Linked DNA regions of Neodiprion lecontei. The protein of the gene in region 1 purifies or fractionates together with the protein of each later gene. This does not show direct contact. Links are inferred from orthologs where the notes say so. Each region holds a gene or a part of one and is shown on either strand. Other genes may lie near its edges. The genes, in order: DNA polymerase interacting tetratricopeptide repeat-containing, protein of 47 kDa; protein HGH1 homolog.

Region 1 (4,925 bases):
CCAAGTTCACTGAAACTTCGGCAAAATCGTGTGCTAAGATTACTTTAGATAAAATTGAAAATGCATCGTAGAAGAGCCATAAGATTAATACCATGAATTCAAGTACTTTTACCAATGTTTTCAGTATGCAATAGATAAGCAATGTTCACTAACGTGAAAGTTATTCGATATGCCATATCAAAAACTCGCATTTAAGGAAGACAAATTGAAATTGCTAATTAGAACCAAATAACTGTAGGCCTACTTTAGAACATTCGTGATGCTATAATTTTTATAGAATTTATTTTCAAAAGAAACAATAATTCCAACCAATGTTATAACGTTCGCATAATATAACGTATATCCTTTACTGGACGGTAAACTACAATTACTTTTTAGAGGATAAAGGATTTCTAAGTTTCTAACTTATGTGATTAACAATCAGTTATCGATATTTATAACGATCCACTCGCGCATGTGTATTTAAATGCGTATACCTACAAATACATATGTGCGCGTGTTACGGACCGTCTGAATCTTTATATAACATACACATCTATTATACATATATACATATAAATGAAGTTTATTTTTTGTGTTTCGTCAGTGTTGTATACACATATTTTCTTGTTTCTTTATTAAGCTTCAAATCATGTAGGAATTATGATATTGAACTAGTTGAAATTTTATTTATTATTGAATACTGCACTGGTGTCAAGATTTTTGCAATAAAAGCGTAAGTGCAGAATGTTTAACGACGATGTAATCGTCCAAAACTTAATATACGTATACAGAATATTAAACATACCGAAGTTTTCAGAGAATCACGAAAAAATAAACAAAAATTTAATTTGTGAATTAACATTGTTTGAACAGCCATTGTTTACTGCTTTAGTAGAATCAATTTTGTGGCCATTTTAATAATTATACCGAGAAAGCTGAAAGGCTTACATTAGCTTTAGTAGCGAGTTGGATATCTTATGTAGTTTGAAAATGTCATTCAAAGTGATCAATTATACAATTTTTAAACGACCATTGCTAGGCTGTAGTTTCCAGACACATGTACATGGTTCTGAGAGTAGTTCCACGATTATTATTATTTTTGTACAAAATCTAATATGATAATTTTGAACATGCATAAGAACCCGTACTAACTCAATCAATTATTGTATTTATGATAAAACAGTTATCATTAGATAGTTTTCGCTGAGAGCGGAAAAATTATTTAAAAATATATTCCACAAATTTGCAATATTGTACAAATTTTGTGTGAATATACAAAAAAATTAAATAAACTTACAAAAAATACGACAAAAGATAACAAAAAAAAGTAAAAAAAAAAAAAAAACGTTATTCGGGAATTATGATGGGTAGAGGAGCAATGTCCTGTATTTAGCTATTTAATACAAGGTTGGATTGCAAGGAAGATTTTTATATTGCTTATTAAGAATAACTATTAGACTATAGGAAAATACTAAGTGCAGCGTAGAACATCGTTTCAAGGTGGACTTCCAACGAATCGAAATGTAAATAATAATCAATAATGTTTTCTATTTAACAATTACAAAAATAACATTATGTTATGTTTTTTCAGTTTGAATCTGAACATAGTGAAGTGACATTGTGATACACGAACACAAATGTATACATAATGTTGTTAAACAGTGTACTCCAACATGAATATACGTATAATATGTGTGCATTATTTATTTCAAACTGTTAATGCCCAGTTATGTGTATATTCATGGTCAGTTGCAGACGCGAGTGTGTATATAAACATGTAATACATTAAATTTGTCTCCTAATACGAAATAAAATGTATTTTTAACGGTAGCATTTTTATTCCTCAATGTATTGCTTTTTTCTTCAGACTCAATGTCATGCGAATTCAACATGTTGTACTTACGACTAGCAGCCATGTGTTTGCCATGCTTGCGTGACGTGTGTGAAGCGTGTGAGATTGAGAGTCAGTGAAAAATATACGCACGACATCTGGGTGCTTTTTTCTATGAACAATAAGAGAAGTCATAGGTGAGCATACAAATTTTCGTCACTATAATATTATTTTTTGAATAGATATTTACTTAAAATCAGTTTTGAACCGTTGCTCGATTCTTTGATTAGGTAAGTTAGGTTATGGTGCAAACGGTACATGTCTTTTTAGTTTCAATTTCTATGAATCTTTTTGCAGGACATCCGTAAGAATCAATATATTTGTACTTTTACTTAATTTACGATTGTTATAATCACTATTAGGTTACATTTTTTAAATCAAAATCAGTATATCACTTTAATATATCTTCAACATGACTGAACATAACCTGTAACAATAGTAATACCTTTGTATTGCAAGAATCTGATGATATTTTTTCATACTCATCAACTTACATTTAGGATTAACAATGAATGCTGAAAATATAAATAATGCCAAGAAAAAGTCTTGGACCGAAAATGAGCGCTTAGAACTTGCCGCTAAATTGGACGCTGAGTTGGATGACTATATTAATAACTTGGAGCAAAAACAATATACCGAAGGATGGCCAGAAGATCGTTGGGAAGCCGAAATGGATAAGCATCCTTTCTTCATGAAAAAAGCTCCCCAAGTTGGAGACGAATTATCACCGCTAATGGAAGGCTTGCAACAGTTGAAATATGATGAGAACGAAAATACTCCCGAAGGTTGGTGAGCAAACAATAGATAAAGCTGAAACTAGCAAGTAATAGTTAGCAGGTAATACAGGCGGAAAGGTTTCAGGGGATGACCAAATGATGAAACACGGCAGAATTATTCAGGGAACTCTTTCGAATATATTCCTTAATATTTTATCGTTAGCTCACTCCCTGTAAGCTCTCCACAGGTATTACCTGCCAGTTTCAGTATCATAAACTATAATGCATATCATTTTGGTAAACAGTGTACGGAAAGTAGAAACTCGTCATAGTAAGCCCAAGGTGTTGAAGAAGGCATTTTTTTATAATTCTGTGGTTTGGTATTTCAGAATTAGCAAATAACTACAAAGAAGATGGTAATTTCAATTTCAAATACAAGAACTACCGTCTAGCTATAATGGGGTACACAGAAGGCATCAGAACTAAATGTAAAGATGGTGATTTAATGGCTCAGCTTTATAATAATCGAGCTGCTGCACATTACATGCTTCAGAATTACCGGTAAATATATCTCTTATATCATAGTCATTGTTCAGTTCATATTTCCAAATACTGTGGAGATCAAAGTGATTAATTTTTTGACGAAATTATTTAAGCTTTAAAAGTAAGCCATGTTTGGAATGAATCCAAGTGGTCCAGGCACTAGTTACTTTAATAGAAAACATATCTTTCATCCTAGTCCACTTTTCATTTAACAAATATCTGCATTTATGAAAATTTCAGATCAAGTTTAAACGATTGCAAACATGCTTTGAAACTTAAGCCAGACTATCCAAAAGCATTAAACAGAGCTGCAAACTGCTGTTCGCAGATCAAGGACTATGATCAATGTATTACTTACTGTGATCAATTTCTCGAAAAATCTCCGTCGGAAAAGGTGATATTAAATCTTAGAAATGAAGCAGTAGCTAACAAGGTAAGATGCGGTTTACAACAGTATTCTGTACTGAGCTCATCAGCTATAACCTTGAATACTCACACTGTTGAAAAACTATTGAAAATTTACAGAAAAAATTGGAGAGGGATAAACGTCGAACTGATGCTTTGGCTAAGAAAATTGACCGAGAAGAGGAGACTTTACTTGAAATAATTCAGAGCAGAGGTGTGAATATCGAATTGGACTCAGGGAAGAGACACCTGCAACTATCTGATCTTGAACCGTGCATACCACAAATAGCCCAGAACAGAGTGCATTTGATGGAAGACGGCCGTCTGGTTTGGCCCGTTATAATTTTATATCCAGAAACTCAACAAACAGATTTCATTCAAGAATTTCACGAAGATACCAGGTACTTTTAATATTATTACTATCATTATCATTGATAAGATCAATTATCTTATACTGCATAAACAACCGAAAAAATGCCATGCGTATTAAACCACTTTCTTGGACCCGATGAAATCTAACTATTTATACTAGGATGAAAATTACTGAAGGAGTTGGTAGTTCAAATTAGTTTGATGTTGTACATTTGAACGCTGCCTTTAACCACATTTACACGCAGTATGATCTACTTGAGCATTTAGAAAAATCTGGTGCAGTAATTGATAAAAACTTTACACGCCGTTGTTTGGCTGGGAACCGCATATTTGCTGTTACTGTATTTTCACTTCATACTCAAATATTGGTGGTTTATGTTCCAGGTTGATAACCCAGTTGAAAGAACTGTTTGAAGAACCTCCGGGATGGGACACAGGAAGGCGGTATTATCCAGAAAATTTAAATGTGTATTTTGAGGGTAAAGGGAAACGCACTGTTCACAAAATTGACGTTGAAGCAACACTTGGAAAAATTCTGGCTGACCAGAGGTGAGAGTTTTGAGATTTAATTGATTATTGTATTACGTTTGCAAAAAGTTTCGATAAAGTTAGAAATCAAGGACGAACATCGCTATGATTTTTAACTCCATTTTACAGTAAAGGCGTGAAATCGTGATAAATAGTAACTTGATACTTACGTACCTATAATCCGAAACCCGCCTTTATTGCATTCTCTTTTATGTGATATTCTGCATCGATGAAATTAGACAAGTTATTGCAGTAATTTACTCTATCAGGACAAAGGATTCTTCGAAATATAAATAGAGACATATCCAATATCGAGCGTGTTATTGGCAATATTTGCTGCAGTTGAATGGAATTTTATCGTTCGAATCATACCCGGTACATATTTCGCAATTTAGACAATAATAGGAGGCATTGTGTTTTACTGCACCTACTAGCGGGTGGCTCTCTCGAATCTCTTTTTCTTTCCGGGAATTTGAAAGTGCGCTTAA
Region 2 (7,885 bases), on another chromosome or scaffold:
CTGAAAAATTACCAGTACAAAAGGGTCTTATTGTCAAACCCTGCAAAACCGACAAACTGTTCCAACAAATAATGTAGGTAAATTTTCATAGTTCGAACTTAACAAATGAAGTCCTATTGAGTTGCCTGTGGCTTGGGGTTTGGGGAGTTAGCTTCTGGCTTTTTAGGACTAGAGTTGATTTCTTGTTGTTCCAAGCGTCGGTGTCGGAGCATTGTAGATAAGACCCCGTTGAAACTTGCAGTCTTTTTCTTGGCACTACCTTTCGGAGTGCTTTCCCCAACTCGCCGAACTGGCATCCGTGGGGACGACATTTCATCCATAAAGTCAAAATCAGACTTCTCTTCAGTTCTATTAGATAGAACAAGAATATATTTTTCTTTCTACTTTGCAAGTAACTTTTATCCATCAATAAACTTTTCGCTTGTATTAGTAGAAAATAATATATTGGTCATATTATACTGTATATTATGTTTGTATAATTTTTAGATAAAACTCATATTTCTATGTGTATTTATATGAAAATCATGATATCAAATCATTTATATGTATATATTTTGGTACAAGAATGATATAACATGCATATATATTAGAAACTGTTGATAATATAAAAAATTATGCTGCATGTCTGTATGGAATTACATAATTACTTACTTATAATCCTGTGAAGTGTGATCCTGTTGACGATTATTGGTGGGTACTGGCGAAGGGCCTCGTCTTCCTGGACATTTCCATTCCAGTTCAAGAATATGATGGTTCACCTCCAATCCTTCAATCAATGCCATTATACTCTCTGGCTGCAGAGTCCATTCGTTCTGTGGAATTAAAAAATTGTTTTACAAACTTGACGATATCTCGAAAGGCTTGAGTCGATATCAAAATTACGAATTAGGTCTACACAACTTTCCATACTCTGAAACTTGGAAAATTTACAATACTCCATTCTAACTCGACTCGCTATAATTTATTGAAATCATTATTGAAAAAAGTGTTATTAGTACCGCTGTAGTTGCCTCATATTTTTCATCGTCAGAGCATTCGACTGACCAATCCTCGTCGCTCTGTTCCATACTTATGAAAAATGGTCAAATTTTCAACATGTCATATCCAGTGATTTAAGGTTAATCCGTTCAACGTCCGAATACATTCAGACGGGACAATTTATATTATTCTAAGGCATCCAGCGTTCAATGCGACTTTGGCATTTGTTGCAAACCTCAAAGATCGCCCTAGATTACTTTATTTCTACTATAAACAAATGTTCGATCGAATCTCAGACAACCGGATTACACTTGTATTTTACGTTACTTTATGTCACGTTACGTTACACAAGGGCGTAGCCATGTCTGTTTGGTGGCTTGGTGCTTTGCGGCGCGTTGTCTACTACGTACAGTACAAAAGTAATCTCAGACGGAATCCACAAGCCGTACGCACAATTCAGAATCTGCCAATGAGACCTGAGATCATTTTGTGGAATTATAGAGAATAATGCGTGAATTCCATAATCCCCAAGCAAAATTTAACAATCAATGGTACATGTAATAATTCCATGTGATTCAACTTTCGGTATCATATAACGGCACCGTGGAGTCAAGTTGCGTTTAGATCTCGGTTAAAACATATTGTGAAAGTCGTGCTAATGGAAGCAATTGAAGAAATATCACAATTTTTAGACATTGGAACTCGGTTGGATTTAAAATCCATCGCTTTGCAGCACGTGCTGAGTAAGTTTATTACCCTATTGATTATTCATTGACCAATATCAATAAGTCTACATTAACCTAAAATATCATATCATATTGTGATGTTCTTGTCTTTGAGCTTGTAAGAAATTAATTAGGACATTTGTTAAATAACACCTCAGGGCCAAAAATCATAACATGACAATAATCGTCCAATGAAGGAGTTATCGAAGTGAAAACTTCTTTAGCGGCGCTTTTGTATGAACATATATCGTAAGAGATTCAGTCACGCCACATGGAAATTAAATTCAGTCGAGGTAGGCTTGAAGATGAAGAGATATCTTCAGTATCAACTGAGATACATGCAACAATTCTGCCTTCATCGACCAAGGTATTTCTGCAATGAGTCTTTGACTGAAGATTATTAAAGGCAGCAGGTAAATGTAAATGACTTATGTGATGTCAGCCTGCGATTTTTGAATTTTTCAAATGATTTTATACCAACTAATTGCTCCCCAACTTCTCTTAATTGCTCTCTAAATTTGATTATTTGCATTCACACGGTTCTCGAGAAAATCGCAAAAAATGCATCTTCGGCAGCCGTCAGGTGTTTCAAGGATTTTAAAAATCCGCAGAATTTCCAAAGAATTCATGTACCAAATAGTTGCTCTTCAATTGCTCCCTAACTTTTATTATTTGCTCCTACACAGTTTTCAACAAAATCCAATTAAAAGAAAAAAACTGTTCAAATTCAAAAAAGTGTTTCGAACAAACTGATGGTTATTCAAACGAAATGATATTTGCTTTCCATTGTACCTTAATTACTCCCAATCTTATGTTATTTTTGTTAATTGCGTCTGCGTGGTTTCGAATAAATCGAGAAAAAACGAAGAGGGGCTTTTCGCGAAGCGTTGTCGAATTCGATTTGATATATTCCCTAAATTAATATATATATATGTATAATCCCTTAATTTCTCCTGGGCATCTCGTAATTACTCCATAAGTCTTATAATTTGCTTCTTCATAGTTTTCGAGAAAATAGGTAAAAAACAAAGGGAGTAGTTTGGAGGTTATATCGACGAGCGGCAGATTTACACTGAAATCTCCTATATAGAAATATTCAATTCGGCTCAAATACATATTGTTTCCAATTTCTTCTCGATTTGTTATCAATTATATATCAATTTTGTCATTTCCTCCATCGTAATTTTTGAAAAAAACCGGGAAAAACATCACTGACTGATGGTGTGGCCGAGAGTCGAATAGTTTCAGATTCAAACTCGTGTCCGTATCGGAAAAATAATAGTTCGGCCCAACTGCCAAATGCTCGTCATCGCTCCTCGATTTTTATAAGTATTCTGTCAGTTTAGTCAATTGCTACTACCTAATTATGGAGAAAACTGGTAAAAACTAGAGCAACTGGTTTGTAGGTTACGTCGACGAGCAGCGGATTCGAAGTTGTATCCGGGAATGCGGTTTGATACTACAGAAATCGGTTCTACAGAGCAAATGTTATACAGAATATGTTCTACAGACTCATTTCTACAGAAATAATTTTTCACATCAGGAATAATCCCATGAATAATCCTGCATGAATTATTCTACAGAAGAATTGTTCAACAACATATTTTTCTACAAAATATTTTTCTACAGAACATTTTTCTACAGACAAATTATTTTACAGAATAGTATGTTTGACGCAACACACTTTCAGAGCAATCATCGAATCGTCAAAATCATATGACTCGACAATTTCGTACATTTTGATTTAATTTAATTTAATTTAAATTGTTTTTATTGAATTTATGTGTGTGTTGTGTCAAACGGGTATTATGTTGGATGTGTGAAACTAGAAAACTATTCTATAAAAAAATATTATGTAGAACAATATCTTGTAAACTGATTTTCCTGTCAAATAATTCATGCAGGATTATTTCTGATGTGAATCTCGAATTCTCTTCTGTAGGAAAATATTCTGTAGCAAAATATTTCTGTAGAAACGAGTCTGGATAACATATTCTGTAGAACATTTGCTCTGTAGAACTGATTTCTGTAGAATCGATCCTCTCCTATCCGGAACAGGAATAATCTCGATTTGGCCAAAGTGACAATTGATTATATTCGCTCCTTGATTGATCTTCACGCATCCACCAATATCATCCCAAGAACATATTGCTTCTAATTGCTCCTCGATTCCTTATTCAATCGTCAAAACTATGTGGGAGCAAATAATAAAATTAGTAGTACGGAAATAGCTATCAAGGAATAATTTGAAGCAAAAGTCACTTTTGCTGAATCGACATGTTTCTTGTTTCGGATACTATTTTGAATCCGCCGCTCGTCGACGTAACCTACAAACCAGTTGCTCTGGTTTTTAACAGTTTTCTCGATCACGAAGCAGAACCAAATGACCAAATGAACAGATCACGTATAAACAATCGAGGATCAGTTAGAAGCAATATGCACTAGGGTGGAATTATCATTTTTTCGTTAGAATCGAGAATTTTCCACGACTCGACCCTCGGCCACGCATGAGTCACTTTCGTTTTTCCCAGTTTTCTCGAGAATTACGGGGAAGTAAACCGTCAAATTGATAGATAATTGATAAGAAATCGAGGAGCAATTAGAAGCAATATGCACCTGGGTCGAATTGATAATTTCTTGCTGGGGATTCCAGTTTAATTGTAAGTCTCCCGTTCGTTCGTATAACTTCCACACTGGTCCCTTTATTCTTTCCCAGTTTTCTCGAAAATTATGATTGAGCAAATTACGAGACTTACGGAGCAATTACGAGCTGTCAAGGAGCAATCAGTATCAAATGTCATTTTATTTTAATAATCATCGGTTTGTCCCGAACACTTCTTTGAATTTGGCGCTATTACCGGGGCTGACGTGCCCGATGAGTTTTTTTTTTTTTTGATTCTCTTGAAAACCGTGTTATGTCTGTTATGGACTATTGAACTGGATTCTTTCCCTCTTAAAGTAAATATACCTGATGGGTTGTTGGTAGGATATTAATCAATAACACAGGCTTGCGATGGTTCCCTCCCCGTAAAACTGAGTAGTATTTTTATTAGGTATTAGGAACGGATCTGCGAAAAAAAACATTATAAAAATTCTATCGCGTAAATTTTCTTTGATGGCGAGTAGCGTGAGGCTACATGGAGATAGGACAGGATAGAGACTAGGTATAACGCGACGTTAGAAGTGTGGGAGAGTTAGCAAGTAGGAGCAATAAATAGGAACGACGTGTGGCGGTACACCGAATGTAAGAACCGTATAAGAGTGTATAATAAAAGTTAGGGCGTAATTCAGAGTAATTAAGGAGCAATTATTTGGCGCACTATTTTTTGAAAAATTCGATGGTCGCAGGCCAACTTCACACATATAGCTGAATGGGGCATTTTTAAGCTCCGTAAAGAAAGTTCTTATCGTAACATACTCGAATAACATAAGCCCCATAAGCAAGTTGATAAATGTAGGGCACTATGTAATTATCGCACCCGGTGTGACCTAGTAGTTGCTTTCAAAGGATACCCGTGACCGGCTGTTTTTAGCAATCCTCCGGCAACGTCAAGAGCATTGAAGATAGGGGGATAATAGCATTGCCCTAGATTTAGTGACTCGTTCATGGGACTTTGAAGCTCTTCACCCCATCCCCTATCTAGTTTCAAAAAGCCTCATTTATCTGGCTGCCAGAGATGTGACTATTAGCAATCTTCGGTCAACGAAAGAATGCATATTTTGATGGGTAAAGCCGAGACCAGTTACATGCTCTTCATTATTCTTTCATATATGACGGGCACAAAATATGAATTGACTAATTACATTGAATATAGTTTTATTGTTCACGAATTATTGTTTTAGGTGTAACAGGCAGCAATGATGGAATTGAGCTGTTATTGAGCTTACCTGAAATAGTAAGGCAACTTGTTCTGCTGGTACAGGATAATTCAACATCAGTCTGCAAAGATGCCGCTCTTTCATTGATTAACATATCAGCTTATGATGGTGGAGCGAATGCATTACTGGTTATATCAGAGACATCGAAGATGAGACCAGATGAAAAACCAAATGATAATCTAGTACATACTTGCCTTAGGTAGTAGATACACTTCCTAATGATAATCAACATATAATTGTAAAAATATGAAATTGCCCTCATCAGTTCTCAGTTAACTAAACATAGATTATAACAAATTTATTTGTTGATAACAAAAGGCAAAAAGAAAGAAGAACCTGGATAAGCATTGTAATTGTTTCACCAAGAAAAAAATTCAGTTAGAAAAAATAAACAATTTCATGCAGTGATTTTCTCAGTTCATGATGAACTATTTATTTTCAAATTCTTTCCAATGAAATTGAAGTTATCAAATTAACGTTTTTCTACTTCCTTTTTAGTAATCTGATAACAATCGAACACGTTTGGTTTCTTTTGGATTAGGTATAATAGAAAAATGATCATGGATAGGATTTGAAATTTTTTTCCGACTTATAGTTCTATTTGTTATTTGCAGATGCATTTTGGATAAGCAGAACGACTTGGCTGACCCATGTTGCATGATTTTGTCTAATTTAACGCGAGCGCATTCTCTGACAGAAAGAATTTTAGCGGTAGTTAATAATAGCGGTTATGCATGGAGCGCAATAATTGCCGCCTTTACGGCTCAGAAATATAACGAAAAGGGAGCCACCCTCCATTACTTAGGCCCTGTTTTCAGCAATCTTAGCCAATCTATTACCATGCGAAGGTATGTTCTCTGTACAAAGTAACGTTAGTAAAATGCCAATTATTTCTAAAATTGCACAAAGTTACAAAACTACTGTCAAATCTTCTGTCTATACAAAGAAAAGTTGTTAATATAGATCAGCTTACATTTTTCTATTCTTTTAGATATTTATTGGACAAAGAACATTGCGTCATTCAAAGACTTCTTCCCTTCACAGAATATGTTGAAAGCACGGTAAGACGTGGCGGAATTGTGGGCACATTGAAAAACTGTTGTTTTGATACGGAATACCATGCATGGTTATTAGGCCCTAAAGTGGACATTTTACCTCGACTTTTATTGCCCCTTGCTGGTCCGGAAGAGTTCAACGACGATGATAATGACAAACTTCCGATAGAACTACAGTATTTGCCTGAAAACAAAACTAGAGATTCCGATCCTGACATCAGGTAAACCGGAGAAAGATACACTAGAGAAAAAATACAGTTTTAGGATTCTGTGATAACATATTTCGTTGTATATTATCTTCAGAACAATGCTGTTGGAGGCTTTGGCTCAACTATGCGCAACAAGGGAAGGCCGTGAAATACTGAGGGATAAGAATGTATACGTTATCCTGAGAGAATTTCACAAGTGGGAAAAAGACAGAGCAGTTCTATTGGCGTGCGAAAACGTTGTGGATATATTGCTCAAGTTAGTTCTGATTTTTAGACAGTTTCTAATTGTTTCTGAAAAGTGAAAAATTTTAGTAATTTCTCGAAATTTTGAAGACCTTTCTCAATTTATATGCAGAAAATTAATGTCGGCAGATTTGTGGAAAAAATTTGCTACGTTTGAAAACTCTCTGAAAAGATTCCGCAATTATAGTTTTAATGACTATATTATTTTATGAATGTCCAGATTTTCTCAGCTGCATTTGAGATGGTTTAATTTCAACTGCTTCTCAAAAGTTTTTAATTACTCTCACAAAGCCATCCCAATTTCTCCTAACGCGTTACGGTCGGAAAATACGAAGAACCACTAGAACTCGGAATTTTTCAGATCTGTGATACAAAACGGAGTTCTGTCAAAATATGAGTTCTTTCTAGAAGTTGATTCGACTTTCACCCCTAACTCGATTCTGTCAGAAGCAGCCAGATGAAATAAAGTTTTTCATATTTTTGACAAAAAAACATACAGTTTCGAACAGAATCCGAGTTGTTATTGGAACAATTCAAAGTTTTGCTGAAAAAAAAAACAGTATTTTTCTCAGAACTGTCCGAAAAAATAGTATATTTCTGTGAAATATCTTCAAAAGACTATAAGAAGTTTTTGAAATTTTTTTACTAGTATCATAATGAAACAATAAAACAGAAGAGTTAATAAATATTTTTCAGAAAAGAGGAAGAGATCGGCTTGGACAATTTGAGGGAAGTAACCATACCTGAGGAGTACAAGGAAAAATTCAAAAAAATGGACGAAGAATATATAAACGAT

What was found.
Region 2: the proteins of DNA polymerase interacting tetratricopeptide repeat-containing, protein of 47 kDa (region 1) and protein HGH1 homolog purify together in Homo sapiens (co-immunoprecipitation; 4 studies listed by BioGRID and IntAct, counting the BioPlex papers as one, with this or other methods). This does not show direct contact. The link is inferred for Neodiprion lecontei from reciprocal best matches to the Homo sapiens genes TTC4 and HGH1.

Annotation. Positions count from the first base shown.
Region 1 is NC_060260.1:27,850,036-27,854,960, reverse strand, and holds the start of DNA polymerase interacting tetratricopeptide repeat-containing, protein of 47 kDa, read left to right. Parts: upstream 1-1,868; 5' UTR 1,869-2,010; intron 2,011-2,373; 5' UTR 2,374-2,381; coding exon 2,382-2,658; intron 2,659-2,978; coding exon 2,979-3,150; intron 3,151-3,372; coding exon 3,373-3,565; intron 3,566-3,657; coding exon 3,658-3,938; intron 3,939-4,293; coding exon 4,294-4,458; intron 4,459-4,925.
Region 2 is NC_060261.1:15,413,788-15,421,672, reverse strand, and holds the start of protein HGH1 homolog, read left to right. Parts: upstream 1-1,586; 5' UTR 1,587-1,636; coding exon 1,637-1,721; intron 1,722-1,777; exon of another isoform or gene 1,778-2,116; intron 2,117-5,236; exon of another isoform or gene 5,237-5,414; coding exon of another isoform or gene 5,415-5,430; intron 5,431-5,546; coding exon 5,547-5,781; intron 5,782-6,196; coding exon 6,197-6,430; intron 6,431-6,573; coding exon 6,574-6,858; intron 6,859-6,940; coding exon 6,941-7,102; coding exon of another isoform or gene 7,103-7,106; intron 7,107-7,785; coding exon 7,786-7,885. Other genes in the region: PAXIP1-associated glutamate-rich protein 1, read right to left, coding at 114-348, 652-812, 999-1,067.